4 linked regions of the Elephas maximus indicus genome follow. The protein of the gene in region 2 interacts with the protein of the main gene of each other region in a biochemical or structural test. Links are inferred from orthologs where the notes say so. Each region holds a gene or a part of one and is shown on either strand. Other genes may lie near its edges. The genes, in order: NR2C1, HDAC4, CAMK2D and NACC1.

Region 1 (8,001 bases), on a different chromosome or scaffold from region 2:
GGTACATATACACACAAGTACATTCACAGTGCAAACAACAGCATATGTTAAATACTAAGGGGTTCATAAAACCTCCTCGTCCAAGAATCCCAACTTAACACATGGAGTAAAATTTCAGCTACTGCCAGAACTGAGCTTCCTGAATGTGTATTTAACATATACAACTCTATGCATATTAAAAGCCACTAGAAGGTAAGAAAGGAGCCCTGGTGGTACAATGGTTAAGTGCTTGGCTGCTAACCAAAAGGTTAGGCTGTTGGAACTGACCAGCTGCTCCTCTGCGGGAGAAAAGACTTGGAGATCTGCTAGGGTGAACACTTTGCTGTCCAACTGATTCCTAATAAGGTTTCCAAGGCTGTAATTTTTATGGGAGTAGACCTACACAACTTTTTCACATGGAGCAGCTCGTCAGTTTGAGCTGCTGCCCTTTCAGGTAGCAGCCGAGTGTTTAACTATTGCACAACCAAGACTCCTCCGTAAAGATTACAGCTTAGAAAATCCTATGGGGCAGTTCTACTCTGCCCTACAGGGTCGATATGAGCAGGAATCGCTGGCACACAATAGAAAACAAGAACCATCTTTGTATCAGTACCTGGTAGAGTGCTTTGGCAAGTAGGTTCTCAGCATGTTTGCGGAACTGAATTACATCCTTATTTTCCTGCTTTGGAACCATCGGTGTCTTTTTAATGGCCAAAGAATAAGTCCTAACTCCTTGCCTTGGTATTCTTTCAGTATTTATTAAGCAACCACTACATGCCTGGCCCTGAGAAAACTATGGCGAACTCCTTTATAATTTGATTTCCTCATCTTCTCTCCTATCATTCCCAAGAGACGCCACCTATTCAGGTTAAAGTAAAAAAAAAAAAAAGATGTTACTTATTCCTCAATATATCGTTCCAATCTCCTACACTCCCTTCCCCACCCCAGCTCAGTTCAAATAGTTTTTACCCACTCTTGCCAGACTGGTCTAGTATTTACTGTGTACAGTAAGGTTGTTAACTAGGATTCATGAATAAACTCCTTTTTTTCTATTGTATGCAAAACTGTATGTGCACGTGCATTTTTCTAAGGAGGAGTCCACGGCTTTCAAAACAAGATTTTTAAAGGTTGCCGAAGGATTTTGTGATTTGGAGTCCTGGTGGTATAGTGGTTAAGAGCTCATCTGCTGAACAAAAATAGGCCAACAGTTTGAATCCACCAGACGCTCTTTGGAAACACTAAGGGGCAGTTCTACTCTGTCCTATGGGGTCGCTATGAGTCGAAATCGACTCCACAGCAATGTGTATGGAAAGAAAGTAAGGAATTATATTTCTAATATTTATTAATTATCGTATGCTACTTCTTTTGTCTTTTTTTATATCCCAAAGGTAGGAATTAGGCTCTGCGGCAGACACACAGAAGTAGGTATTTCAGGAATTTTTGCTGCCGTTGGTTTGTGTCTTCCTTAAAAGCCCAAACTTACTGGAAACTGGAGGAACCCCCAAAACTATGGCCTCCTGACACACTGTTAACCCAGAACTGAAACCATTCCCGAAGCCCACTTTTCGGACAAAGATCTGACAGGACTATAAAACAAAAAATAATACGCGTGAGGAATGTGCTTCTTTTCTTAGTTCATTCAGATACAGAAGACCAAATGGGCGGCTCCTGTCCAAACACAGGATGGAAAGTCATAAGAACTAGCCGAATGGACATGGGGCGGGGGGGGGGGGGGTCCTCACATTGGGAGGATTGCAACTAACGTCACAAAACAATGTGTACAAATTTTTGTACGAAAAATTAACCTGAGCTGTAAACTTTCACCTAAAGCACAATAAAAAACAAAATACCTCAATTCCTATAAAATTGAAATGCCTCCACAAGGAATGATGAAATTAGCAACATTTCGTGAAACCCCCCCCTTTTTTTAAGAATACAATATATTTTTCATAAGAATAAAATCTAAGTATCTTTTAGATCTACCAATCGGACATACAAAGTTGAAATACAATCTTCCTGTAACAACCAAGCACACAGCAAACACCGTTCAAAAACTTCAAGGTCAACAGCCTATTTACAACTTTCAGAGACGCAAAAACCCTAAAGGCTTTACTTTCAAGTCTTTTTTTTTCCTTTTCCTTTCCAATTGTTTTATTACAGACTGACCTACTTACTGCAGGTTACAGGGCAATTCAGCAACATTTGTAATTCATGGAACGATATCTGTGCGAGCTGAAGACAGGGTTTATTAACAAAAGCTACTGGGTGCTCGGACATGCAAAAGACACAGGTCCAAAGGCAGCGGCGACACTCTCCCCCTTCAAAATAAAATAAAAGTGAAAGTTGCGGGCGTTGTTCCGTCAGTCACTTGTAAGCACCAAAATCTGAGAGTCCCTAGGTGACAAGGGTTCAGGCCTCTGCCAGCGGCCACTCGAAGAAAGGGTCAGCCTCTCCCACGTCGGACCGCTCCCCGCGCCTCTGAGTCCCGCCAGCCGCCACGCGCCCTACAGGCCCAGCCACGGCGCGCGGCCCCTTGGGGAGGGGGAAGCGGCAGCAGCGCCGAGACGGAAGCTTTTCCTGTAGGTGAAAGGTCAGAGGCGCCGCAGGAGGCGCGGCGGGAGAGGCGGCCGTGCGCACCGAGCAGCTCGCTGACTACCTCCCGCGCCCCGCTGTGCCGCCCTCACGAGGACCCGCGTCCCCGCGCCGGTCACTCTTGGAGCCCCGCACACTCGGCCCCGCCGCTCCGGCCACTCTCCGTTCTTCCTCCCAACCCCACCTGAGCAGCCCACCGCGGCAGTGCCAGACGGGCCGGCCCTGCCGGCCGGAGCCCGCAGGCTGCGGGGGCGTCCTGCGGGTGCGTCCGTTGGCAGTTGGGTTAAAGGGACACTCTCGACCCCCGCCCCTGGTGCGGCCGCTTTTCTCCCCACCGGCGCTTCTTACCCGCGGTTCTCCGCCGCGCTCGGTCCTGTTCCGGGCGTAGACCCGACAGCCCCGCTGCGGCGGATGCTGGGGAGTTCCGGGAGGAGACAGGTTGGAGAAAGGTGGGGAGTAAGAGGACCCAGGGAGCGGGAGGAGGGAGCTTTGAGTTTGTGTATTTCGGGGGGGGGTCAGAGTTCGTGACCCCTCCCTCGGCTCCTTGGTGCGCGCTCCCGCCCGCGCCTGCGCATTAACGGTGTGGAGGAGCCGCGAGAGGGGGGCGTGACGTTCTCTGTTGGGAGGGTGGGGAGGAGGGATGAGAGGAACCCAGCCGCGGTTTTGAAAGTCGCCTGCCCCCTGTCGGCTCGGAGGGACAATGGCCGAGAGCTGTGTGTCCCCATCAGGTACTTTTAGAAGTACGGTGTTTGTCAAAAGGAAGTTTTGAGTCAACGTCTCAGATTTGAATAATAAAAATAAAACATAACCCAATTGTTTTTAGGCAATTCGGTTTCTAATTTGTGCCAAACAACTCTAGGTTTTATTAGAGGATTAACAAGATCCCAGTCAAGTATTTAAAATTTCCTTATTTAAATATAAACGAGCCGAGGCAGAATGATATATCGTAAGGCAAGGTTTTTATTTACCAATTATTGTGAGTAAATAATGGAGATGTGATTAAATGGAGCAAGAATATAATCACTAGAATGTAAGCTCCCTGAAGGCTGGTTTTTACCTGCTTTGTCAGTGGTGTATCCTCATGCACTAGGACAATGCCTGATGGTAAATAAAGGTGTTAAAGGGCACTGACAGAACATCACTTTCTGATGGTGGCCACCTGAGACAGCAAAGTGTGTGGTAGGAGCAGTTGCCCTGTATGCAAAGTACTGTGTGGTTTAGACTTTTAAGAGAAGGGATCCTCAGAATTTCCATTGTGTGGTGCGTAGGTCGTTGTTGTTGTCATCAAGTCGGTACTGACTCAGCGTCCCTGTGCACAACAGAACCAAACACTGCCCGGTCCTGCAACATTCTCACAGTTGTTGCTATGCTTGAGCCCATTATTACAGCCACAGTGTCAGTCCATCTTACTGAGGGTCAGCACTGTAGAAAAGCAGCTGCCGATTCAAGGCAGAAGCCCAAGTCAGGAAAAACAAATGTGCGTTTGGGAACCAGAACATCTCCTAGGTCATTTCCCTCTAGAACTATGCAACTGAACACATGGAAAAAGGGCATGTGGCAAGTGGAAATATAATTCATGACTCATTCTCTGTAAAAGTCCACCTCTTACTTTTACCATCATTTGTTGTGTGTTTGATGGTTTTAAGGCAAAGTACTGCCTCAATCCTGCAATCTTTAAACTGGTCCCAAAGGAGAAAGCTAAGTACACTGTAGGTCAAATGGAAAAGTAATCTGAGACCTTTTCTCTATTCTCAGGGCACAGTATGCATATCTGTAGTGATGCGCGAGATTACCCCTTATCATCTAATTAATTCACTTAAGTCACAGTAAGTTAACTTATTAAAACTTGGATGTAGAAGCCAATTTCGGAACATCATTTATGGGTGAAGGAGAGTTTTCCCTTCAGAAAAACCAAGAGGTCAGTGAGGTTCATCTTTAAATCTGTGACTCTAAAAGTTTTGGTTTAAAAGACATCACACAAGAAATAGATATTAAATTTATTTAATATAAATATACTTATTAACATTATTTACAATGCTAATTATTTATAAAGGATCTATTTCTATATGGACAATAAGAAACAGACTTATCACTTTAAAAAATGTTTCTAGAAATACATCATAAATCATTTAAAGAAACAACAGTATTTCAAGATTGTGTTCTTTCATGCCATAGGAACCCATATAAAAAACTGCCCCCCTTCATCTCTTCCCCTGTACCCAAAAAAGGAGCTTTTTGAAAATTTCTTACCTTAAAAAAAAATCCTACTAGAAAGTATTTGTCTCTTTTCTTAAAAGGGGAAAAGTCAGATAAGATTTTTTGTTTAGAAAATGACTAAAAGTATCATAAGCTCCAGGATAATGTTTGTGTATTGCAGGCACTTTTTTCTTGAAAATCAGAAGCAACTGTATTGAGCAAATATAAGTGTCCACTTCATGCAAGGCACTCTGCCCTGGGCTGTAGAGGAATCTCCAATGAACAAGATACAGTTTCGGTTCTCAAGGGCAGAATGTGACAAGCACCATAAGAAAGTGTTTATGAACGAAGAGCCACGGGAGCACTGAGGAAGGAGACACTGGATCTACTCTGGAGGAACAGGGGAGAGAAGGCTAGGATCAACTGTCACAGAGGAGGCTTTCAAGTTGGGCACTCTTGGGAAAAGTGAGAATAAAGAAAACACTGTGAACAGAGAAGGGATGGATTAGGGTTGGCTGCAGGGTATGATACCTGAGGAAAAGTAATATATAAAGGTGAGACATGGTTTGGGGCGAACTGTAATAGAATTTGCATTCCATGCCAAGCCACCTGGAAGCCACTGAAGGTTGTAATAAAAAAATATATATAATAATAGCAGGAGATAAAACTAGATTATAGCTATGCTGTAGAAAGATAGCTCTGGCAGTGCTGAAAATGGGACCACATAAAGAAGGTATTGAGGTAAGAAGAAAAGTTACTGTAATCATTGGGAAGTAGTAACAGGGACTTGAGTCAGGGCCTATGCAGTAACAATAAAAGGGCAAAAAGTAAAAGGGCAAGGAGGATGGAAAGGATACAAGGATAACTGCAAAGAGCCTTGTTGAGACTTGGAGACAGATCCCAGAGCCCAGAATGATGCCTTTCCATTATGGGTGAAAATAAAAGAAGGAGATTTGAATGGGAAGGTGAGTTGAGATTTAGTCCTATAAAATTTAAAATGCTTGAGAAGGACTCGTGTAGCTATCCAACCCACCTGTTGCCGTCGAGTCAATTCCGACTCATAGTGACACTCTAGGACACATAGAGTTTCCCAGGAGAGCCTGGTAGATTCAAACTGTCAACCTTTTGGTTAGCAGCCATAGCACTTAACCACTACGCCACCAGGGTTTCCAGCTATCTAACAGGTAGTTGCAAATGTGGCCTTGTAGGATGGTGAAGAGTATAGGTTTAAGATCTAAGTAATAATGAGGGCATTTTGGGGCTGTTTGAGTTTTAATGACAAGACTTCTGTCCTCACTTTCTTCTACTTAAAGTGGGGGGAAGTGAGAATAAAGAAGAAAACAGTAAGAACAGAAAAGGATGGGTGAGGATTAGCTGGAGGGTATGATACCTGAGGAAAAGGGTTAAGATACCTGAGGAAATACTTAATATTTTCTCTTAAAAAGCACAGGGTAGTTACTATGAAAGAAACTGCTACATTAAATACAGTATCTGCTTTCAATTCTCTGGAAATCTCAGTAATTATATTTCACTACAATGGATCTCAAACTTTCCAAAAATTTAGCACAATGAAAGTATGCATTCAAGACATATCATATACTGATATTTACATTTTAACTAAATAACCAAATAGCAGGCTTTCCCCGTTTCCAGATATATTCTACCACCCATATAAACTTGGCTAACAAAATTATACTTTAAAGCTGTCATGCTCACTGTTATGGATTGAATTGTCCCCCCCTCCCCCGGCCAAAAAAAAGTGTATCAGTTTGACTTGATCATGATTCCCAGTATTGTGTGACTGTCTACCATTTTGTCATCTGATGTGATTTTCCTGTGTTGTAAATCCTACCTGTATGATTTTAGTGAGGCAGGATTAGAAGCAGTTATGTTAATGAGGCAGGACTCAATCTACAAGATTAAGTGGTGTTTTAAGTCAGTCTCTTTTGAGATACAAAAGAGAAGGTGGGGGGACACCTCATACCAACAAGAAACAAGAGCCAGGAAAATAGCGTTGTCCTTTGGACCCAATGCCCCTGCATGGAGAAGGTCTGAGACCAGGGGAAGATTGATGACAAGGACCTTCCTCCAGAGCTAACAGAGGAATGCCTTCCCCTGGAGCTGGCACCCTGAATTCGAACTTCTAGCCTCCTTCACTGTGACAGAATAAATTTTCTTTGTTAAGGCCAACCACTTGTATGTCTGTTATGGTATCACTAGATAACTAAGACGCTCACTTAGTTGTTATATTACAGCGTTATATGAGTTAAGGGTTGGTCTGATGGTCTCATTTAAAGAAATGCTTCTAAATAATCAAGATTTTGACTGAAGAAGAGAGAATGAGCAGTGGTGGTTCCTCTATCTTGGGCAGCCAGAAGACAATAGCAGGATACTGGGTATATTAGGGAACACAGGCGAAGAGGACAGAGAGAGGTTCAGAAATGTGCGATGATGCCAAAGAGAACCTTTCTCATTTTTCCTAGGACTCTGGTGGGTCTTCTACATCTACAGCTGCTACAGCTAAAAAAGGAGCACTGGTTGGGGATAAGCACAAAAAAATGCCAGCCTTAATCTAGTTCAACCTGGTGTTCCTTGTGTAGGTTACTCTAAGCATCCATTTCAGCTTAGCTTTATAACTGCTCTCTCATGAGTAAAAGGGGATACTTGTAAAAGAATTTGATGGAAGCACATCGATTAATGTACTAAATACAGTATTCCTAGGATTAAGGTACTGGTTATACTTTCCATTTACAGAATGCAGCACATATTTTTTTTTCTCTGAAGTGTTAGCTATCAAGAGATTGATCAGTTTTAGTAAGTTATAAATGATTGATAAGGGGAGAAGTGTAATAATATTCCACATTTAAAACCTCTTTATTGGAGAAGAGGGCTATATGTTATAATTCTCAAAACCCTCCCAAGGGGCTAAGCTAAGAGCTAGTACAATCACATATGTGTTTCATATATAATTAAAGAGAATTACTAGAGGTTTCTTCTCTCTCAGTTTAAATTTAGAACTGGTTCTTGATTCAGCCAGTTGTTAGAAGATGAAATAGCCTGAATATTTTTTGAAAGTCTGAGGTTTAAGTCAAACCTTAGTCAGAAAGTAGAGAGCTCAAAGGGATGGGGAAGAATCCCAAATAACTTGTTGTGCCAAATGCTAGACCCACTGAATCAGAAAGAAATCATTTATGAGGTGTAACCTTAGTCTCCAAAAAGGAATCATTAAAAATT
Region 2 (7,658 bases):
AATAAGGAAGGACCTTCCCTCAGAGCCTCTGGAGAGCACGACCCTGCCGTCGCCTTAAGTTCAGACTCCTGGCCTTCGAGCTGCCACAGAACATGCCTCTGTTGTTCTGTGCCACCTACTTTGTGGTGCTTTGTTTCGGCGGCCCTCGCAGACCGATACAGTGGCTATGTAGGCTGTCTTGGCCACTTAGTGCATCCTTTCCCAGTGTGATTTTCTTTTTTTTTGGTAGTACGTGTCAGCGCTGTTGGGATCTGTTACAGCCACGATTGGGGGTTGGTTTTCAATTCCTCCTGACAGAGGTTCCTTCTCTCGTCAGTGGCTTGTTGATTAAGACGGAGGTGAGCAGTACCAGTGACCGCAGCTTCTCCTCCAGGGCCTCAGGTCCCAGGCGCCGCTTCCCGGGGCAGGCAGCCAGCAGAGTGAAGCTGCAGGTTAGACACCACCGTGCCAGTGGGCATCTTCTTCTGGTGTGGGGAGGGGGAGAGCTGTGGAGGGCACGTGCACTACGGGCCATGTCGTGGATGGTGTCCCCACTCTGTAAACCCGGGGAGGCAGCCCCTGTGGCATTGGGATGGTACAGCAGGTGGAGCCTGCCGCCTGAGTCAGGACAGCCGCGTTGTTGCCGTGTGGCCCTGAGAACACTGTCTGAGCCTCTGAGCCTCTGTGGTGTTGTTGGGCAGCGGAGCTGATGCCAGCTTGTGGGTTGCTGGGAGATGTGAGAACTGCTGGGACAGCCAGTGGGCACAGGTAGGCTCCCAGGGTTCGCGCTGGTGAGTCTTTCAGTTGGGGGCTCCAGGGGACATGTGGAGAAGGTGCCATTGGGGCAGTCCCTCTGTGCTCACTTGTCCTCGGCTTTTCCCAAAGTGCACTGCTTAGCTGGGCCTGTGGTCACACGTGCCTGGGCCTGCAGTGTTGGATGGCCACCACGTGTGTACTCCCCAGCTTGCTCGGGCTCCCAGAGGGCCAGTCCCTGGCCGAGAGCTCTTGGGCCGGCAGTGACCACAGAGGCTTCTGTGCAGGGGCAAGGCTGAGGGGCCCTGCCTGGAGATGGGTAAGCAAAGTCCTCATCCCACCCTGCATCACCCAGGGCTTAGTGAGAGAAAGGCTGTCCCAGAGGGAGCCGCAGTGGTGTCCTGACCAAGCCCTGCACCTGGCCTGCAGGACATGGTGGCGCCTCTCCTTGGGGACCTGCCCCCAGGCCTCGGCTCGCAGCTCCATCCTGGTGTTTGCAAGCAAGGCCCGTGCCCTGGGGCTTCGGGGGTGCCATTCCCTCTCTTTATTCTGGAGCATACACCACCCCAGCCTACCATGTAGGAAAGCTGTCTGAGGTAGGACTGTGGCAGTGCCCCGGCCATGGCACGGGCATGGGAGCCTTCCTGGGGGCTTCCCCATTGGTGCTGGGGGAGACGGCCTGCCTCATCTGGTGGCTTAGCCAGTGGGGTGCAGGTGTAGGAGCTGCGGCCTCCATTGTGGGTGCAGAGGAAGAGGAAGGAGGGGTGAGAGACAGGTGGGTGGCCATCACTGGCCCTCTGGCTTTTGACCTTTGGTGGTCCCCTAGGCTCCTGAGTGAAGAGGCTACCAGGGGCCCCTTCTCAGGAGCAGTAGGGGAGCTGGGGAAGAGCATTTGAGCTGCTCTCACTCCCCAGGAGCGGAATTTGCTTTTCCATCATCTCTCACCACCTCTCAGCCACGTTCTGGGCTTGGGCTGGAATCTCCCCACCCCGCTGGTTTAGACACATGTGGCTGATGCTGACGTGTGTCCGCCAGGCTTACAAACCTTGATTTGCCTTTATGGGAGGGGTGGGATCCTTTTCTTTGGTTTGACTGCTCAGGACTGATACCCTCAGAGAGCAGGGCCAGCGCCGAGCAGGCGCACGGTGGACAGAAGTGCGGTAACCTCCCAGGGGTGGGAAACCAGCCTGTCTCAGGCTGAAAGGCCGCAGGCATCACCCTAGGGTTTGGAAGGGTGCTCATAGCAGGTGACAGGATGATGGCTCCGTGCTGGCTGAAGAATGTGGCTCAGACAGGCTGACGTCAGCTTTGTCCTAGGGCTTGTCACTGGATGTGGATGCCACCTAAGTCAGAGGCCAGGCTGTGGAGACAGGGTTCAGCATTTCATCCTGTGTCTCTTTTAGAGGAAGGGTGTTGGCATGGTGATGAGGGCCACCTTCAATGGTTCCTGGGCCCAGTGCGCCTGGCTGTGGACATCTGTGCAGTGACACGAGCACTGCTTGCTACCCCTTCCCATGGGCCCTGCTTTAACTCCATCAGCACAACAGGAAGAGAACACACATGTCTGCAGAGAGGGACCCAGCTTAGGGAAGTGATGTTCCAGGCTACTAAATGAAAAACAAACAAACAAACAAAAAAACAAACCCATTGCCATCAAGTCGATTCCGACTGATAGCGACCCTGTAGGACAGAGTAGAACTGCCCCATAAGGTTTCCAAGGAACGCCTGGTGGATTCAAACTGCAGATTTTGGTTAGCAGCTATAGCTTTTAACCACTATGCTGCCAGGGTTTCCAAAGGAGTCCCCATATAGTTCTACTGGGGCTTGAACCCAGGACCTTCTGCGTGTAAAGCAGACGTGATAACTGCTACACTATGGAATTGCTTAAATGAAAGGGTATGTTAAAGGATGAAGAAGAGTTGCCTGTTGGTTGAGGGTGTCCAGCTGGCTGGGTGGCATGTGGGGCCTGAGTTTGGAGGGTCTGTACACTCTCGGGCGTGCTCTGTGAAGCCAGCTCGGCTCTGAGCCCTGTCCTTGTGCGTACGCTGGCTCAGCCTTCAGTGTCCAGGTCCTCCTTTGTTTTGGGCACCTGTCTGCTGATGCCACCTGCACCTTTGCCTTCTCACCCTGTAAGGGCCAGAGAGAAGGGCATAACCAAGCTCCTAGTGACGGGCAGCCGCTGGCTGCCCGTGTCCTGGTGTATGCTCTCCATCTGCTCCGAAGTTCCACCCCACACTGCCCGCAGGACTCAAGCTAAGTGGCATCTCCTAGCGAGGACTTCCCTCCACCCAAGCCTCGTGTTCTTGGTGGGCAGTACTCTCTCCTGTAGATAAACTTTCATTCTTGTTGAGTGCCGCACGTGCATGGCTTTTCCTCAGTGAGCATCCCCAGGCCCTGGTTCAGGAGGAGAGTCAGCTGACCACCACGCTGGCTCTGGAGTTGAGTGTGCTCTCACAGAGCCCTGGACCACTGTGGGGCTTGGGCTCCCACCCACGTCGGGGACAAGAACTGGCCCCAGGTCCGTGGACGCTTCGGTTTCCCCCTCATCCGTCGGCCCTCATGCTCCAGGGCATCAGTAAGGAGATGTTGTCAGAGGCCTGTCTCTCACGGATGGAACTGTTCACTTGGCTGAAATGATTGCTCTGGACTGTGCGCCCCGGGGTTTCGCTTCTGACCACCTGCCGCATGTGACACCTAAGGTACCTGGCTCCTCAGGTCGTCACTGCCACTGTGGGAGCAGGCTGTCTTGACTGAAGACAGTGGCCACTCGTACATGGAATGCTACTCAGCCGTGAAGAGCGAATGAACCTGTGCTGAGCAGGGCAGTGGATGCTTGCACACGGGATGCTTCTCGTGTGGGATGCTGCCGATGTGTGGAATACCACTCAGACGTGGGAAGCAGCACACACGTGGGACGCCGCCCACGGGTGAAACGCCGCGCACACGTGGGACGCCACTCACGGGTGGAACGCCGCACACACGTGGGACGCCACTCACGGGTGGAACGCCGCGCACACGTGGGACGCCACTCACGGGTGGAACGCCGCTCCCACGTGGGACGCCACTCACGGGTGGAACGCCGCGCACACGTGGGACGCCACTCACGGGTGGAACGCCGCGCACACGTGGGACGCCACTCACAGGTGGAATACTGTGCATATGTGGGACACCACTCGTGGAATACTGCTCACACGTGGGACACCACTCACAGGTGGAATGTCGCTCACACGTGAGACGCCACTCACGGGTGGAATACTGCTCACACGTGGGACGCCGCTCACGGGTGGAATACTGCTCAATGTGGGACACCACTCATAGGTGGAATACTACCCACATGTGGGACACCACTCATAGGTGGAACACCATTCTCAGGTGGGACACCATTCACAGGTGGAATACTGCTCACACGTGGGATGCCACTCACACGTGGAATGCAGCTCACATGTGGGACACCACTCACACGTGGAATACTGCTCACATGTGGGACGCCGCTCACGTGTGGGGCGTCCCTCATGCATGGGACACTGCTCACATGTGGGATGCTGCTCCCATGTGTGACAGTGCTCACACGTGGGATCCCACTGAGCTGTGAAGAAAAATGAAGTCCTGATACATGCCACAACACAGATAACCTTATTCTGAGCAGGATGATGGCTGATCACGGAGCTCCAGGCTCCTGCCTGATGCTGGCTGGCAGTGGCGACCTGGGCCAACCCCTCCCCCGTGCCTTCAGAGGCAGCTGGTGGTATGTCTGGGAGCAGCTTCAGGAGTGCGCCAAGGGGCTGCGTGTTTCCACGTTGGCCATTGCAACATCATAGCCTGCAGTGCACGCTGGAATGTCCTACTAAACAACAACTGCCCTTACAGCTTCCCAACTAAGCTGGGGGTGGGGTGGGTAGGGCGCTTTCTTCCCAGATAAGGCTCCTCAAGTTCCTGGAATGCTTACGCCTGGGGTGGAGAAACCCTACATGACTTGAACTCTTCTTCACACGTAAGTCCCCCACGTCCCGTCCGCCGCACAGACGCCCGGCCCTTTCTGGTTGCGATCATGCAGTCAGTCAGTCCAGCCCGGAAGTGCAGTTCCCCACATCTTCTACAGCTAACAAACACCTCACTTCAGGTGCCCTAAAATCAAATTCAGGCTGCGGAGAGGTTATAGTGCTCTCAAACTTGTACGTGGAAGCAGAGGGAGAGAACTGGCCTTGTAAATGAGCGAGTGCCCCAGAAGGCGGTGCCTTGCTCCTGACCTCCAGGGCACTTGAGGTGCGAGCTGGTGGGAGCTTGGGCGACATGGCCCCGCACAAAATCGGGTTTGGCAGAACGCTCACTCATGGGCCGGAAAGTAAACAGTGGTGTCGAGCCTTCTGCGTGAGCCCGTGTATCATCTGCTTGTTATGTAATCTGACAACACGGGTATGAAATGGAAACCAGATGTCAGGGCGGAGCGCTGGAATTCTTCAGCCGTGAGTGCCGGGAGGCGGGTGTGAGTTTGCTTCTCTGTGAAGGCCCAGCAGCTCTGGGAGGGCAGGCTGGAGGGTCCTGGGAGCCAAGCAGACGTCTCGGAGAAGGTAAAGTATGAACCCGGAGTCTTTTGAAAAACGTGTGCCGCTGCTCTGTGCTTGTTACATAGCTGTGCGGGGACTCGGCACGGCGACCTGGTGGCTGGCCGTCTAGAAGCGGCTCAGAGCATGGAAACTCGGCGAGGGGCCCCTGGCATCCTGCTACTGATGGCTGGTCGCAGGGCCTGGGTTTAGAGTGAGAGGGGCATGGACGGGCACGTGCCGTTTCTCTGGTGGTGGCTGGGTTGTGTGGTGGGAGGGGTGGAAGCGCGTCATTTCGGCGCTCGCTCCTGCACACGTGCAGCTGTGGCGATAGTGGCTCCTGGCGCACAGCAGACCACAGTGCTGGGGCGCCCAGAGGCAGGGACTTGGGATTCTGCTGTGGCCAAGCCCCCTGCCAGTGGCCCTGTGGGTGCCAGAGGGTGACTGCATCTCCTCTCCTGGCCTGGCCCCTCTCGTGCTCTGTGGAACGCCCTGGGATGTGGGTCCTTGACTTGCCACATTCACGCCTTTCTGATCTAGAAAATCAGACTCACCGAGATCAGGAGCAGAGCGCCTCACCTGCTGAAGCAATGGCTAGCCACAGTGGTAGTTCCATATTTGATCTCAACTAAAACCCCAAGTGTCTCTGCTGTGGTAGCCGAGGTTTCACATCTACAGACCCCTTACTTTGCTCATATCCTCCTCTGGGAACCCTACGGGGCCGTGACCCTGTACTCCTGTTAATGCCATGCCGAATTCTTAGACACCACTCGGGTTATCCGTCCGTCCTGTTTCATTAGGCACCCAGCTCGGGGGCCAGAGGAGATCTGTGGCTCCTTCTGATCCCCTGGGTTTCCAGCTTTCTTACCTGTAAAACGATAGCTGACGAGTCTGGGGTGCTTTCTGCATGCTGGGCCTGTGCACAAAGTGTGTTAGTGCAATTTGTTACGTGATTCTCAAAACACACCCTGGAAGTAGGTGCCTTTGGGACACCATTTTACAGCAGGGAGAACTGAGGCCCAGGCAGGTTGAACGACTGGCTGAGGGTCCCACTGTTCGGGGGCTGTGCTGGCTTTGCACCCAGGCAGCATGCCCCAGAGCCACCGTGCGGCATGTCTCTGGTCTCTCCTGGCTTGTAGTTCTGGGTCCCTTGCTTCAGGGTGGACGAGGGCACTTCACCGTGCTTGCCGGTGGCCTTTGGGTGTCCAGTTTGGAGGAACCCCAGTGCCGGGGAAAGTGTAGTCCTGACGTGGGCGTGCTCCAGTCTGCAGTCCTAAGTCCTGGGCGATGTTACGCCACATGGTGACCCCGGGAAAAAGATTTGATGTGCTCCTGCGCCCTTGCTCCATTTTGCTTGTTCCGAAAGGGAACTAAAAACAAACCCAGCCCACACCGTTGGGTCAGACGGAATGTGGGAGTCAGAGACTTATCTAAGTGGAATTTCTCTTGGAGCCTTTCCTTGATCCAGAGTTGTCCTTAATGTTTTGAAAAGCACGTTAGAGATACCAGGCATGCTGAGAGGCCTGGGCGGCCACTGCTGTTCTGTGCATGAGAGGTGGGACTGCACAGACCGTCCAGAGGACACATCTGTCTGTCTTTGTGACCACCAACCCCCTCGGGCCTTGGGCAGGGTCCCAGCGGTTGGGCTGGAGCCGGGGTAGGAGGCCCCATGTGGGGATCCTTGACCTTGGAACCCCCACTCCCCATGGCATCACTTGGGAGGCTGCTGCCTGGGGAGATTTGGGCTCTGCATCCCCATGGTTCTAAATAACACCGCTTCTTGCTTCTGGACACACTCCGTCTGTCCCGAGGTCCTTCCCGCCCTGGGTGGCCATCGGGGTGCAGCCCCAGGCCTTGGGCTGGGCACCAGTGTACTTTCTCTTGCTGAATCGCTCCTGCCCGGGGCCACATGGTGGCAGGATCCAAAGTGGGGCACCCCTCATCTATTGATGGGGGTCGCCTGCGGGACCCTTGAGGCGGGGGGGTGGGGCCACTTGCTTTGCTCTTGCCACCCCCCACCCCGCCTTTATCTGCGTTTAAAAATAGGCAGGCCTGGTGCCAGGCCCAGGCTGAAGGCCACTTCTTGCCAGCCCCGAGGTGATAGGGCTGCACAGGGGGTGGAGTGAGCCAGGAGTACAGGGTGGGGGTGGCCCTCAAGGGCCCGCGGAGCCACCCAAGGCGGCCTATGGAAGTCGAGTGAGGCATCTGAGTACTTCTTTTAAATGAAGACATCTTATCCCACTTCTTTTTTGCACTGTAGTCGGGAAGGTCATGAACTGGAGTGTCAGCAGCACCAGGCCAGGTGTGCCTTGCAGAGAGGCCTAATGAGAACACGGGCGTGTGTAATGCAGGACCCTTGGAGTTTGGGTCAGGGATCAGAGCAGT
Region 3 (7,518 bases), on a different chromosome or scaffold from region 2:
ATTCAGCAGGAGAAAGATGTGGTAGTCTGTCCCTGTAAAGATTTACAGCCTTGGAAGCTCTATGGGGTAGTTCTACTCTATCCTACAGAATCGCTGTGAGTCGGAATCAACTTGACGACGGTGGGTTTGGTTTGGTTTTGCCAAAAGACCAAATAAATTAGTTTATTAAGACATTTATTTTTAATAAAAATATTAATTTTTTAGCACCTGCTAAAACAGATAAAATGTTTTGTTACACTTTTTCTGAAATACAACTAGAAATATTCCTTAGAAGTAAATGTGGTGAGACTTTGGTTTGCTTACTTTGGACACATCATCAGGAAAGACGAATCACTAGAAAAGCACATCATGTTCTTAAAGTAGAGGGTCCACGAAAGCAAGGGAAACCCTCAGTGAGATGAACTGGCACATGAGCTGCAACAAGACACTCAATATCGTAAAGATGGCACAGGACTGGGCAATATTTTGCTCTGTTATATATAATGTCGCCGTGAGTTTGAGCCAACTCAACAACAACTAACATGTAATAGGTATTAAGGAAAATATAAAGGCTGGACTAGGAGTGAAAACTCTCTGAAAGAGATGCAATAACTAATAGAGTACTCAGGGATGGTTTATTGATAAGGTGACGTTTGAGAAATGACTGGAAGTAGGTAAGGGAATGGGACAGGAGGATAGCTAAGAACATTCTCCAGAAGGAAACAGGAAAGTCCCTAATCAGGAGCATGCCAGGTATGTTCCAAGAACAGCAAAGAGGCCAGTGTGGCTCAAATGGAGTGATCCAGGGCACAAGATGAGGTCAGAGCGAGTAAGGGCGGGGAACAGATCTCCCAGGGCCTTGTAGGCCATTTTTAGAACTTTGTGTTTAGTCCATTTGAGATGGGAAGCCCTGGGAAGGTTTTGAGCAAAGGCATGATTTGATCTGACTGAGGCTTTGAAAGAATCGTTGTGGCTGTTATGCTGGGACGAGGATGAACAGGCCAAGGGCAGAAGGCTATTGAACAAAACAAGCAAGAGACGATAGTCCAAATTCATTTTGGTATAACTTCTGATTAGGCTACCACTGAAATAATTTTATATAATGTATAGGGTCGCCATGAGTTGGAATCGACTTGAAGGCAATGAGTGTAAGAGGTGAAAAAAAGTCAAAATAATACAGTGCAAATGATCACTATCTTACAAATATCAAAACCAAACCAGTTGCCGTGGAATCATTTCCGACTCATGGCAACCCCGTGTGCGTCAGAATAGAACTGTACTCCACGGGGTTTTCCATGGCTGACTTTTTGTACGTAGATCATCAGGACTTTCTTCCAAGGCACCTTTGGGTGAACTGGAACCTCCAACTTTTCAGTTTGCAGCTGATTGTGTTGACCACTGCACCACCCAGGGACTTTGTCTTGTAAATATATTCTCTTAAATAATGGTATAAAACTGTATTAAAAATGTTTTCAATCACTATAATTAAGATACTGTGCCTTCCAACAACCTTGTAAGACACCAAGTTTCTATTATTATTCAGCGTGTAAAATTATCACATGTTCATATCAGGATATTTCAGCACAAAATAATAACCTCTGGATAACTGGCTCTGTGTTTATAAAACCTGATCTTGTCAATGAAAATACTAACCTGGTTCCTCATTAATGACAGCCAAATTAAACAAACAATAAAATAATCACAAGGGTGTGGATTCCCTCTACTGCCCTTCTTAAGTGTTACCCTTTTGGAATCAGTTATGTATGTATGATGAAATTTAAATGCATTTCGACACTAAACCCAAGAAGAATAAGAGCCACTGTTTATTCCACTATTATGAGTCTACACCCTTTAAATTGAACTCTATGTTGTAGGATTATTCCTGAAATATGGAGCCCTTGTGCTGCAATGGTTAAGTGGTTAGACCCCAACAGCTGCCCGGCAAAAGAAAGGACCTGGTGATCTGCTCCCTTAAAGAATATAGCCTAGGAAACATTATGGGACTGTTCTACTTTGTCATATAGGGTTGCTATGAGAAAGAACTGACTAGATGGCATTCAACAACAGATCCCTAAAACTATGTTGAAGTAGTACTGACAAAAGCTTTGACTTGATTATCTTTTTAAGTGGTTCAGACTCCGGAAATACTCGTCAATATTTAAATAAGAGAAACATTTTAATTAGTCCAAGATAAAGATCAAAGAACAATGCAAATACAGACTAAGCAGAGTACTTACAAAATGTACTCATGTATTGTCTAATAATACGTCGGTATTAAAACTGTTACGTTTTCTTCGTTTCCCCATACAGTTATCATGAACACTTTACAAGTATCTGTAGTTTAAATAACTAAGACAAATACTGTAATTATGTAGACTTCATTGTGTGAATATTTTAAAAACAATTCCTTCAGAGGTGCAAAATCTTATATAACATTTATTTATTGTTTTAATTTTACTTTTGGTTTCATTTTTAGATTCAGAGACAGCATATTGCTAAACATTTAAAGTATATATTAAAAACCTTTAGCCTAACAAAAATTTTTTTCAACTTCAAAGCCTAAATACTAGTATTTAGACTTTTTTCTCTACGCAGTTTTACGGTTTTTCTTTTCTTTTTTTTTCTGTATCACACCTTAAAACCAAAAACCAAACCCAGTGCCGTCGAGTCAATTTTGACTCATAGCGACCTACATACTGTTAATTGTTTTTAAGACTCAGAAACAAAAACATGTAAACTTCAATTTTGTTGTAATAAGCATTAACAATTATGAACATTTTGAGTAATTCAGAAGAAACTCAATTATTAGTAGAACTGCATCCCCTGAATCAGGAAATCTGAGAACCTAAAGATTATGTGTGACCACGGGCAAGGCAATTAATTAGTATCAGCCTCCTGGGAGCAAGTAACCACCTTTTTAAGGCTGAGATTTCCTTTTCAGCTGTAAAATTGTGTCCCTTAAAAAATGTAATGCTAATGACGAACAAATTAGCAGTAGAATTGCAAGGTTTTTATTACTTGTATTGAAGAATAAAAGGCACTGATCTCAAAAAAATCGTTCATAACTCTTGTTTTGTGGTCTGTCCCTAAACCTGCAACTGTATACTTGATTAAAGACACAGGGCTGGAAAGAAGGCCCAAGGGTCGTTTTAGCAATCACCAACAATTTGTCTATTTTTACATGTAATGTATAATTATTTTTTCTTGTATTTACTGTAAACAATGACAGATTGGAAAATGCAGTAGGATACATTCTTGAACTGTTAAGCGGTTTTTCAGACACTCATTTACCCAGTATATGCACATGTAACTACCCTGTCCAGAGCTTAGCGCATTTCAGGCAAAGCTCTCCTTTTCCTTTTTTTTTTTGCAAAGCGAAACGGGCTGGACGTGATGTGAGTGACGTCAGCCCCACCAGGTCCCATGACCAACACCCAACCTTTCTAATTCCCCGCCCTCTGCCTCCTTTGGAACTGCAAATATCGCGAGAACCTGCCTTACTATCAGAACTTAAAGAGGTTACAGGGAGTTACTCAGAAGAGAAGGGAAGGTGTGGCTCTGTGGTGGAGTTTTCTGGTTTCATTCTAGTAACGTTCATGGCTGAAAGCAAAGGCTTTCGGGGATTGCCAGGGTCTGAGCAACCCGGCTTGGAAAGCGGCGGGGAAGGTGGAGAATGAGTTGCAATCAAATCAGTAGCGAAACGTGGCGCAGGGGCCGGCGTCCCCCCTCACTAATCGGGCGGTGAGGGAGAGAAAATACCTGCGCCTGGCGCCTGAGGGGTGGCGGCGCGGCGAACGCGGCTGCCGCGGGGGTGGGACTCGACAATGGCTGAGAGGCTTTGGGAAGCTGGGAACTTTCTCTGAAAGCAGCCAGCTGCCCACATCCGGCCCCTGTTGTGTCAGCACAGAACCACGGCAGATCAAGTGGTTGCGCCTCTCGCCCTCCCGCCCGGTGAATCGCGGCCCGGGAGTTGGCCTAGAGCGGTTCTCAGGGCCCGGCTCCCAAAATAGGCTGGGGCTCCGAGACCCCCGGAGGCTGCCCTGGGTCGTTCTCGAGTAGCCCCGCATCGTCCCACTAAATCAGTCCCAGTTTCGGGCAGCAGCTTTTCCGCGGGTTTTAGATTGGTAATTTTGACATCTGGCCTCATTCACCTAAACCCCCGCACATCCTCCACCCACTGGTCTCTCTCGAGACGGATGTGCCGCGCGCGCCTGTGTGTGAGACCGAGGGAGGGCGAACGCTTCACGAAGGGAGACGGTTGGAGTCGCTAGAGGGAGGTGTGGGATCAGCGAGGAGGGGGCTTCGCGAGGGAGGGGCGGGAGGAGGTGCTGGGGAAGGAGGCGGAGGAAGGGAGGACTGCAGTCGAGACTTGGCCCGAGCCGAGCGCTTTTTTTTCTCTCGGCGCCGTCTCTAAACCGCGCGGGCTCGTTTTGCTGCGCGAGGCAGCTGAGGTGCAGTGTCCCCAGTGCCGCTGCTGCCGGCGGGAGGGAGGCTGGCCCGGGCGCGCACGCTCGACCGAGCCCCGGCGCGCCCCGCGCCCGCGCCCGCTGACAGCTGCTGCCGGGCTCTGGCTGCCCGCTCCGGGCTCTGCGGCCTCGGCCCCTCAGCACTCCGCCCCCGCCCCCTCGGGCTCCCTCCCCTCTGCCACTACCCCTCCTATCCCCGGTGCGGAACGTTTCGCAACTGCTCGCCTCTTTCCCCGTGCCCGGCTCTTTTTCCATTTTCCCGGGCCCCTCTTCTTGAGTACTTTTCCCCCTGCATTTGGAGAGAGGGGCTGGAAAAGGGTCTGGTGGAGAGTGCAGAGAAGAAGAAGGAAGCGAGGCCCGAGGAGGAGGAGTAGGATCGGCGGACCGTGGAGAGGAGACCCCACGGCGCTCTTTCTGGTCATCTCTCCTCCCGCCCCGCCCCGCCCCTGCGCACACTCCCTCCTGGGCGAGCTACTTTCGGACCAGAAAAGTGAGGGCGGCCCTAGGTGACAGCGCTGCAGGGCCAGTCCCGAGGAAGCCGCGCTTCTGCTCGCGTCTAGTCCACCACGCTTCCAGCCAGGGGCGCAGCCCGGACCGAGGATGGCTTCGACCACAACCTGCACCAGGTTCACGGACGAATATCAGCTTTTCGAGGAGCTCGGAAAGTAAGCGCCTTTGCCCGGCATCGCACGTAGCCTTTCCAGCTGATGGCGAGTCGCGTTGCCCCAGACCCACCGGCCTCTGTCTTGGGGCCAGGGAGTTTGGAGGACCAGGGGAGAGGGAGGGGAGCCCCTGGTTTGTGCGCTCTGGCTGCCTTAGCAAGGGGCGGGGACAGGGAAGAGGAAGGACCCCCTTATCTTCACTGTGACCCATTCTCCTAATCCCTAGCCCACCCTCTCCCGCTCCCCACCCTGTTTCACCGAGAGACTTGGTGAATTTACGATCTCTGCAGTTGTAGCTGTCATCCTGAGGAGTGTGTGTGTTCGCGCGCGTGTGTGTGGAGAGGAAGCAAGAATCCATGTAAAATGCAACATAGATCATGTTTTCTGTAAATAGAGATGCCTCCGGGTTAGCAGGCGTGTCCGCGGTAGGACCCGTGCACGGATGAGAAGTTACTGCCACAGAAGATGCCATGTTTATTGATGCCGAAAGTTCAACTTGGCGTAGAGGCTATTTTGCATCTAGTAGTAGTTCTGTCCAGGAAAAGGGCCACCCAACGGACCCAACCCTCTGCCCCATGTTCACTATTAGTCTTTGCACTAGATGACTCCCACACCATCATCCTTCTCAGGATTTGCGCGTGCATCTTCGCGTTCTCTGGGAGGATTTATTTAAACGGTGCAGCGGAAAAGCCTTCTGGCGACCGGGAGAGCGCTTCCCAAGGGTAGCCAGCCTAGCTTTGCATAAAACGACCTACACCCGACTGGCAGAACTACTTGGATGTGTTAAGGGGGTTAGGAGACCTACTTAGGACCTGTGTAAAAGGACCTAGGGGCCGAGCCTTGAATGTTGATTTATGGGGAGTCAAACCCAATTCCTCAATAGCTAGTTTCAACTACTACTTAGGAAAGGGGTGCGTTTATGTGTATGTTGCTGGTTTATACAGTTGAATTAAAGGCAGTGTATATTTCTTTTAGGTGCAATGTAAACCATAGCCTTATTTATTGTCTGCTGTTAAAACATGGAGAATATGTCGGAAGAACAGCTTAATTCAAAACTCTCCCCTCCCCCACCCGAAAACAGGACAGAGAAATCACCATACCAGGATTTGTTAAACCACGCAAATGTGCTCAAGCTTTATGTTTTAATGAAAATAATCGCCATATTTACTTACTTGGAGCCATATTATTTTTTTCCCTACCTAATAAATAGGCAGCAGATTTTTGCTGCTCCTCCACAGCTCTGTTTTTCGCAGGGTTTTCTCAGAGCATTTGGTGCTGTGTGAGTGTGAACTGTAAAATGTTTTCAAATTTCATGTGTAAACGAGCCGTCATAATTGGCAGTTCCTTTCATTTTGTTGATTAATTATGTGGGCTCCCAGTTAAATAAAATTTAGTTTTTTTCCAACATTAAAGAAGTCTGGGTTTCCAGGAAGGATTGTTCATTTTTCTGGATACTACTGTAGTGCACTGGTATTTGACAATCCACTAAAATCAATAAAAAAGCTCAGATTGTTGTAATTTCTTTTGTAGAGTATCAGAGCTGATTATATTGATGACTTGCTAATTATTGGTTTTCAGGGGGGCATTCTCAGTGGTGAGAAGATGCATGAAAATTCCTACTGGACAAGAATATGCTGCCAAAATTATCAACACCAAAAAGCTTTCTGCTAGGGGTGGGTATTTTTAATCACATATATATGTTCATTTTCTGCTTGTCGTGTTGATTGTTAGTTCTGTTGTATGTGAATATGCCATAGAGTTATAATTGAATTGTAGACTTAGGTATCATATTACATATTAGGGTTATTTCCTTCCTGAATGACTCTTAGTTTGTACACTTTAAAAATAAATGAGCAAATATAATTGTTATTATTTAATACATTGTTATTAAAATTCTCTCTCTCCTATGAGCAGTGGGATAAATAACTATATTTTAAAGCTAATAAATGTCGCTAAGTGTATTTTGCCTTCAGTTCTAATGTGAAATAACGTTCAGAAGGACCCTGGAATGGAAAAATATGTCTCACAATTGTCATAATTCCCTTTTGCTTTTGAGAGGAAAAATAGGTCATAGCTCAGTTGGATCATGTTATTTCAATTGTAGTTGCACTTGAACGTAATTCACTAAGGCCTGTTTAACAGTAACAGTAATTTATGATTACTGTATTCTAGGAAGTTCGATTTAATTTTGATGTTTTTGTGTGCAGTTCAGACTTTACTTGGTATTCTGTTTTAGGTCTTCTCACAGCATCGTGTAATGTGTTTTACACATGCAGTTTATAGTCATAGAGATGATTCTTACTCATAAAATAGCTGTTGACATAAGCAAAAAAACTTGGAGGAACCTCACTGTGATCTTTTTATTTCGTCAAACTTATGTGAAGATACTTGTCTACGGTAGTTTCATGGGA
Region 4 (7,475 bases), on a different chromosome or scaffold from region 2:
TGCCTTCCTTCCCAGCTGACCCTTGCTCACCGGCTCTCGGAGGCTCCTGATGCTCTGCCAAGGCGCTGAAGGTGGAAGGCCCCACAGCCCACACACTGGAACACCAGGGCCTGCTTGCTGAGGGCAAGGGAGGGTGGCTTAAGTTCTAGGCCCAGCGCGCCCCCACACCCCAACTCCTCCCTAAGGCTGGCTCAGATCCCTTCAGACTCTACAGTGCAGGACTGTGTCCCCCCATTCCCCTGGGGCAGGACCATATTCCCCATCCCCCCAGGGCAGGACCATGTCCCCCATTCCCCCGGGGCAGGACTACATCCCCCAATCCCTCAGGGCAGGACCATTTCCTCCCTTTCTCCCAGGGCAGGACCATGTCCCTCATACCCCAAGAGCAGGAACGTGTCCCCCCACTCCCCAAGTCAGGGTCCTGTCTCTTCCCTCAATCCATCCTGCTGCACCCCTAACCCAGCCCAACCTGGCTGAGGCCTTGACCTTCGCCTGGCCAGTGAAGACGCGGACAAATACTCGCACGTAGAAGTCGGCACTGATGCTGAGCAAAGGTACCACGAAGCGCTGGTAGCAGTTGGCCCGGAGGTCCAGGCTGTGCAGTACAATCCTCAGGGCCTGGTGGCCAGGGGATGGGCATTAGCACCTTGCCCCTGCCCTTCCCCCTAGCTGAAAAGCAGCTCACAGTACAGGCTGGGGCTGGCTCCTTGGGTTCCAGTCCCGCCCCTGTCACATCCTGGCTGTGTGACCTTCAGCAAGTGAGCTCTGCCTCTCTGTGCCTCAGTTAGCTCATCGCCAGAGTTCAGCAGCCCGTCTCTCAGAGCACTGCTGGGGCATTAAGCGAGTGAAGGAATGCACAGACCCAGCCGAAGATCTGATAAGCATAGATGTCAGTACTCCTTGGGGTGGGCTGTGGCCAAGGACCTGAGTCCCGGCCACCATGGGCTCTGTGGGCAGGAAGTGTGGGGACACTGGGTGCAGCAGAACCACTAGAGCCTTCTCTCACCAGGAGCCGCTGTGAGGCTCCGACAAGGAGAAGGAGGAAGCATTTGCCAGAGCGCTCTGATGACAGAGCCCTTAAGGAACAAGGACAAGAGTGCCTCCTGCCCCTGCTTTCTCGAATCCCCATAACCATCATCACACTCATTTTACAGAATCAAAAACTGAGGCCCAGAGAGAAGTCACTTGTTGCCTAAAGATATCAGCAAAGCTAGGCTTTGAAGCTAGATCTGGAAAAACTGCCTTACAAAAGACGATTTTGAAAAGTTTTTAAAATTCACAATACTAGAAAGAATAATGGAACTACCCACTCTGACCCTGGGCAAAGCCAGTGCCCTGCAATGACCGAGATGGACAGCCCATGCTCTGAGCAACTCTGCCAGTTAGAGAGGAGCTTGTCACTCACACTCGGGCATGAATCTGGCCCTGGCTGCCTGGGGTGGGAGGGTGGCCCTGGCGTGGAGGGCTCACCATCTCGTGGCAGGCCCGGCTCTTGAGGGCCATCGCCCCGTACTTGCTGTAGCATGTTTCCCCGCTGTTTCCTGCTAGCACCGCCATGTCTGTGCAGGTCACACACAGCAACCCTGCAGACAGGAGTGGGCAGTGAGGACCCTCCAAACAGCCCAAGCCCTGCTTCTCGTGGTATCAGCCCCGGCCTTACCTCCTTCACTCACAGCCTGCACTGCGGCATCCAGGAACGGGGTGGGGCTCCCATAGGGGTCCAGGTCGATGACATCAAAGCGTTCTGACACCCTCTGGTGCTGGTACATCAGCATCCTGGGTGTGAGAGGGCCAGGCCTTCAGTGCAGGGCCGGTCCCCTCCCCTACATGTGTCATCTCAGACAGCTGAGTGGTTTTGGCCTAGACTCAGGCCCAGCTACCTGGGTTCAAGTCCTGGCTTGACCATTTACTAACTGCACAGCTTTGCCTCCTTGGGCCTCAGTCTACCCATCTATACCAATGATAATAATAGTTAACGTTGACACAGCACTGACATGCTCAGCACTGTTTCAAGCAGTTTATAGAAGTATTACTCATTCGATTCTCCAAACAACTTCATGGACTGGGAACTACTGTGGCTCCCTTTGCCACTTTCTCAATGCAGCCTACCTACCCTGACCACACTGCTTAAAATTGTAAGCCCTTCTGCTGGCTGCCTTCATCTCCTTCCCCTCTATTTTTTCCATAGTACGTTTCACTTCCAGTTTACTCTATGATTTATAGGGTCGACAGGAGTCGGAATTGACTCAACGGTAAAGGGTTGCTTTTGTTTCAGTTTTTTTTTCCTTATTTGCACATTTGTTTTGTTATCATCTGTTTCCAGTTAGACTCTATTGGGGTCAGAACAGTTGTTCTGTAAAGGGTCAGATAGTAAACATTTCAGGCTTTGTAGACACATAGTCTCTACTCCGTATTCTTTTTTTTTTTTAGCTTTTTAAAAATGTAAAAAGCATTCATAGGTCAAAGATCATGCAAAACCAGGCTGCAGTTTGCCAACCCCTTCCTTAGAACAAAAACACCAAGTCAGGGATTTTGTTTTGTTTACTGATGCATTCTGCTGCAAAGAATGGTGCCTGCCACATACTGGCACTCTATACACACCAGCTTCATTTGAATAACAATAAAAGAAGTACAAAAGGTTAAGTCTAAAACAGAGATGACAATGGTACTTATCTTTGGACAGAGTTAAGACTATATAAGAATTTTCTATCATTTAATCATCATGGTAGCGGCTGTAAAACCATTGTGTTCATTTTACAGATTAGACAACTGAGGCTCAAAGAGGCTAAGTCATTTGCCCAAGGTCACATAGCCAGAATATGAGAGCCAGGATGTGACATCAGGAAGCCTGGCTCCAGAGCCCATTTTCTGGACACTAGGCTTTTCTGCCCCATACCTACCGGGCATCTGCCCGGCTGGGCTGTACAAGGTGGGCCACATCGTTGAGCTGCACATTGCGGCGTATGAGGTCCACAGCTCGGGAGGAGGCGTCATTGGCGATCACAGATTGAAGCCCAGGCACTTCTTGGGCAAAGCGAATGGAACGCAAGCCTGAGGCTGCCAGGCCCTCCAGCACCCGTAGGCCTTCCTGTTGGGGTATACGGGTAACCTCACTCACATCCATACCTCTGTTTTCTGCTGAGCTCCTAGGAGTCTTCCCCTGCCCCCCACCTCATTTAGATCTCCTACTTCAGGAGCCCTCTTCCCTCCATCACCCACTGAACTCCAGGGTTCCCACTGCCTGTGCTCAGGCCCCACCTCACAGAGCTCCCTCACGGATGCTGTTCGAGGCTGGTCTCCTGGGGCCAGGTTTTCCCCCTCTTTCAGTTCAGCCTTGTCCTCCTCTTGCTCTGACAGGTCCACGACCAACTTTTGCACGTCCTTCTCACCTGGCACCTTGACTGCAGCCATCCAGAAGCATGATTCAAACGATATCAAAGTCCCCTCTGAGAAATCTCCCCTAACTCTTCAGAAAACAGAAGGCTCATGGAGGAAAATCTTCCCCAAACCCCCTGGGGAAAAGCTGATGGAGCAGAGTCCAGGGCCTGCTATGTGGCTGGCACCTTCTGGGGATGGGAAATGCGGTTGTGAGGCAGGGAGAGCTTTGTGTAATCCCCACCCACCAGGAGCTTGGACCCCGACTCACTGTGAATTCCTTTGGTTTGAAGCTGAATGCGAGCAAACTCGGTGATCACAGCACATCTGACAGGACACGGAAGATCAGTTCACACCTCTTTCGCCTCACCGACCCACAGCCTCCTGCCCTCAGCCAGGCTGACCCCTGACCCCCTGCTCACGTCAGGTCCCGGTTGAACTCCTGAACCGGGTTGTAGAAGACTTCGTTGGCACTGGGGAAAGCGATCTTGGCGGCCCCTTCGGTGATTGTAATCTCCTGGGCCTCAGGTGGGCGCTCTTCTCCGCTGTTCCCGGTGCCGTTCTCCATCGCGTCCGGATTCGGCGGCTCTTGGGGCTGCCCCTCCATACTGCGGGCTCTACAGAGACTGCGGGAGGAGCGATGGGTGAGGCTTAGCCACAGAAGGATCCTTGCGCGGGACATCCGCGGGCGTCTCTGTCCGTCACTCCTGATTGGGGAGTAGAAGAGTGGGGGATCGACAGAGGATCAGAGAGGGCTACGTTCTGGGCCAGGGGTGGCCTAGACATCTGAAAGTGAAGGCTAAGAAGACCTTGCGGCCTCGGGACGCTGACACCTCCCCCTTCTTCCGGGGACCAGCCGGAAGCCCTCGGAGCGGACTTGTCCCCGGTCTGGATACCTCCCCGTGCCGCGTAGGCCCTCTTTACCTTTTCTCCGGAAACCAAGAAGGAGATAGGTCTCGGTGCACGTTTCCTAAATTAGGACCTGGGCGCCGCCATGTTGGCACAGTAGGCGGGTGGATCATGTGACCAGTTCAGCCAATCAGCGATGCTAAGTACGGTAGGCGACCGGGATCAAAATGTACAGTGGGAATGATGCGCGCTGAATGTGCTGTACAAGTGGATTTAATAACAGCAGATCCCCTGGGAGGGAAGCATGCCACCAAACCCGTTTCACACATGAGAAAGTTGAAGCTCAGAAAAGGGGCGGTAAGCGAAAAATCCAACACCTATTAATCCTCTACTTTGTGTCGGATGCTGTATACACATTGTTTCAGAGCACCCTCCAGCGTAACAGGAATAACTTGAGGCTCTGGAATCAGACTTACTGAATTTGAACCCCAGTCCTACCACATGCTCTGGGCAAGTTATTTAAATTCTCTGGGCCTCACTTTCCTTACCTTTACAATAGGGATCCTAACTTCCAAGATAGAGCAAAGATTAAACGACAGAATGCTTGGAAAGTGTTCAAGGCAGCTCCCCTGAGGAGGTGCTAAATGGTATATGAACGCAGGAAAACAGTGTTTGGCCAACTGGGTTCCAGTCCAGTTTTGCTGCTGGCTACTTGATCTTAACCCTCTCTGTGCTTCAGTTACTCCATTTACAAAATGGGCAGAACTTTTTAACGTTTGTCATTGAGTTGCGGTGAAAAATAAACCAGTTTAGTGCAGGTAAAATGCGCAGAACGGAACCTGGCGTCTTGAAAACGTCGTAGGAACGTTAGCTTTTATTGCCGCTTCCTGAGCCTAGGTTTGAAGTCAGGTACCCACCACCGCTTTGTTACTGAATCATCTTGAGCAAATTCTTTTATCTCTCTTCTAGAAAGCTGTGCGTGCCTGTGTGTGCGTGTGATAATTTCTATTTAAAAAATGTTTCTGTGAAGCTTAAGCAAAGTCGTTCTCATAAAGAACCTAAAACAGTGCCTGGCTCAGTAAATAGCAGCCCTCGTTGTTTTCGTTTTATAAGAAACTGAGGTTCGGAGAGACAAAGCGACTGCCCCAAGGTCGCGGGGCTAGAAAGTGGCGGGGTCGGGATTCGAACTCGTGAGCAAAGTCGAGTTACTGGAGGGGATCCCGAGGGACAGAGGGAGGAGCCCGAGCCGGGAGGAAGGGGGTGCGCTCGACGCTCTGCTGGCCGCGCCTGGGGGCGGGACGTGGGGGCGGTGTGCAGGCGGGGCCGCGGCCGCTCCTCCCCCGGCCGGGCTGCGGCGGCGCGCGGCCTGCGCTCGCTCGGCGCTCGGCTGGGGCGGCCTGGCCCACAATGAATGGCCGCCGCGGCTGCCGCTGCTGCTGAGGCGGAGGCCGCGGAGGCCGCGGAGGCGGAGGCCGAGGCCCCGGCGGAGGGGGGCGCGCCCCGGGCCCAGGCCGGCCCCAGCCGCCGCTGCTGAGTCCGCCGGGAGCCCCCGGAGCGCGGCCGCGGCGCAGGTGAGGGGGCCCACCTCAGGCCCCGGGGCGACCGGAGGGCGTCCCAAGGCTGAGGGCAGAGGGCTGAGGGGCTTCCTCCTCGGAAGGAGGAGCTGAGCCCGCAGCTTTCCCGGTGCCCGGGCCAGCGAGTGCGGAGAGGCCTGGCCACCGCGGGCGGCCTTGAGCGTCCAGCCTGGGCCAGGCCGGGCCGCGGGGCCTGGGGGCGGCAGAATCTGACCCGGACCCCCTTCTCCAGGCAAGGAGGGTGGGCGAGGCCGGGCTGGGGCAGGTGCCGGGAAGAACTTGGAGGGCCTGAGGAGAAAAACTGATGAGGCGCCCGGGGAGGCCGGAGGGGAAAGAGGAGTCGGGCACTGGGCCGGCCGAGCGGGGGGAGAGGGGAGAGCGGCGCGGCCGGAGGGAAACGGCCCGGGGCGGGGGGGGGGGGCGGTGTCGGGGCGGGGCCGGGCTTGCAGGTACGGTCCGGGCGCTGAGGAGGTGGGTCAAGTTACAGGCCTGGGGGCGGCCAAGGAAGTGGGACAGGGTGGGTGTGGGCGGAGTTAGTTCGGGTGGGGGAGGATAGGAGATCCCGGAGATGTTTGCAGGGGTCACATGAGGTCAGAGCTCAGAGAGGTGGGGCAGAGGCTAGATCTGGGGGAGATCAGGTAGGGTGACCGAGTACTGTAGGAACCTGGGGAGTGGAGGGAGGCAGAGACTTTGGGCCTGGATGGTGGGAGTGTGGGAATGGGTCGGGAAAGACATTTTGATCAGAAGGCACATGCTAAGGTGTGGCCACTCTCGGGTGTTAGCTCAAAGCCGAACCTGGGGAGGGCTCTTCTTTCCCACATCCCATCCCTGAAGCCTGAGTTCTCGTCCTACCCCTTGGGCAGGCCTCTACTGGCTGTTTCGAGGCACCGGCCAGCCTGGTGGGTGTTTGTGTGGGCAGCTCGGGAAATAGCCTGGAACACCTAGCTCAGGCATCTTGTTTATCACGGAGGTGGGCATCACCCACCCCATATAGCTGCAGGAAGGCAGCCCAGTAGACATGGGTATTTTAGGGTCCTGGATTCTATCCCCACTTTTTGTGACCAGAGCCTTAAAGCTCAAGTCTAGGGGACGGGACCTAGAGCCCTTTTCAAGGGCTCCCAGGCACCAGCGCCCTGAACCTGAGTTCTGTGTGTTCTTTTACTAGAGGTGAAGAATTGGGGAGCGGAGCAAATACAGCCCCGTTGTGTCTTAGAAACTTCTGACAGAGTGAAGGCAGGTCAGAGAGAAGGGGATCAAATCAGGTACCCACACTCCAACCCAGCCTCTTGAGTTACCCAGAGTGCTGCCTCTGGGGTACTCATCCTGGACTAGGCCCTGTGCTGAGCTTGCTGGTCTATTGGGTTAGCTCACTGATTGCTCACCACCAGCTGAGCTCAGGCCTTCTCCATAGGATAGACGAGGAAGTAGAAACTCAGGAGATGGTGTAGCAAATCACACAGCTAGATGGGGCAGAGCTGGAGTGACTCTTGGCCCCACCCCCTAGCCCCCCACAATCCCCGAGTTGGCCTTCTAGGGGCATACCTGGAGGAGCATCGCTTTCTTCTGGATGCCCAGGTGGGGATTCTCTCAGATCCCTCTTTCCTGGCCTTTCTTCCTGTGCAGGGAGGGGTAAGGTCAGTATACTTGTGGACGGACTGAGTCTTCCTGGTGTCTCTG

Evidence for each region.
Region 1: the proteins of HDAC4 (region 2) and NR2C1 form a complex in vitro, tested with the Homo sapiens proteins (2 studies listed by BioGRID). The link is inferred for Elephas maximus indicus from reciprocal best matches to the Homo sapiens genes HDAC4 and NR2C1.
Region 3: of the proteins of HDAC4 (region 2) and CAMK2D, one has a biochemical effect on the other in vitro, tested with the Homo sapiens proteins (2 studies listed by BioGRID, with this or other methods). The link is inferred for Elephas maximus indicus from reciprocal best matches to the Homo sapiens genes HDAC4 and CAMK2D.
Region 4: the proteins of HDAC4 (region 2) and NACC1 form a complex in vitro, tested with the Homo sapiens proteins (2 studies listed by BioGRID). The link is inferred for Elephas maximus indicus from reciprocal best matches to the Homo sapiens genes HDAC4 and NACC1.

What each region holds. Positions count from the first base shown.
Region 1 is NC_064822.1:160,425,787-160,433,787, forward strand, and holds the start of NR2C1 (nuclear receptor subfamily 2 group C member 1), read right to left. Parts: upstream 3,014-8,001; 5' UTR 2,146-3,013; intron 839-2,145; 5' UTR 593-838; exon of another isoform or gene 1-592. UniProt on the Homo sapiens protein: Orphan nuclear receptor. Binds the IR7 element in the promoter of its own gene in an autoregulatory negative feedback mechanism. Primarily repressor of a broad range of genes.
Region 2 is NC_064824.1:141,302,566-141,310,223, reverse strand, and holds the start of HDAC4 (histone deacetylase 4), read left to right. Parts: upstream 1-4,648; 5' UTR 4,649-5,152; coding exon 5,153-5,300; intron 5,301-7,658. UniProt on the Homo sapiens protein: Responsible for the deacetylation of lysine residues on the N-terminal part of the core histones (H2A, H2B, H3 and H4).
Region 3 is NC_064823.1:36,591,071-36,598,588, forward strand, and holds the start of CAMK2D (calcium/calmodulin-dependent protein kinase type II subunit delta), read left to right. Parts: upstream 1-4,502; 5' UTR 4,503-5,045; coding exon 5,046-5,110; intron 5,111-6,685; coding exon 6,686-6,780; intron 6,781-7,518. UniProt on the Homo sapiens protein: Calcium/calmodulin-dependent protein kinase involved in the regulation of Ca(2+) homeostatis and excitation-contraction coupling (ECC) in heart by targeting ion channels, transporters and accessory proteins involved in Ca(2+) influx into the myocyte, Ca(2+) release from the sarcoplasmic reticulum (SR), SR Ca(2+) uptake and Na(+) and K(+) channel transport.
Region 4 is NC_064821.1:31,760,309-31,767,783, forward strand, and holds the start of NACC1 (nucleus accumbens-associated protein 1), read left to right. Parts: upstream 1-4,471; 5' UTR 4,472-4,478; coding exon 4,479-4,581; intron 4,582-5,083; exon of another isoform or gene 5,084-5,133; intron 5,134-5,615; exon of another isoform or gene 5,616-5,795; intron 5,796-5,819; exon of another isoform or gene 5,820-6,030; intron 6,031-7,475. Other genes in the region: TRMT1 (tRNA (guanine(26)-N(2))-dimethyltransferase), read right to left, coding at 31-117, 470-618, 1,471-1,583, 1,661-1,776, 2,901-3,088, 3,259-3,401, 3,647-3,702, 3,798-4,057. UniProt on the Homo sapiens protein: Functions as a transcriptional repressor. Seems to function as a transcriptional corepressor in neuronal cells through recruitment of HDAC3 and HDAC4. Contributes to tumor progression, and tumor cell proliferation and survival.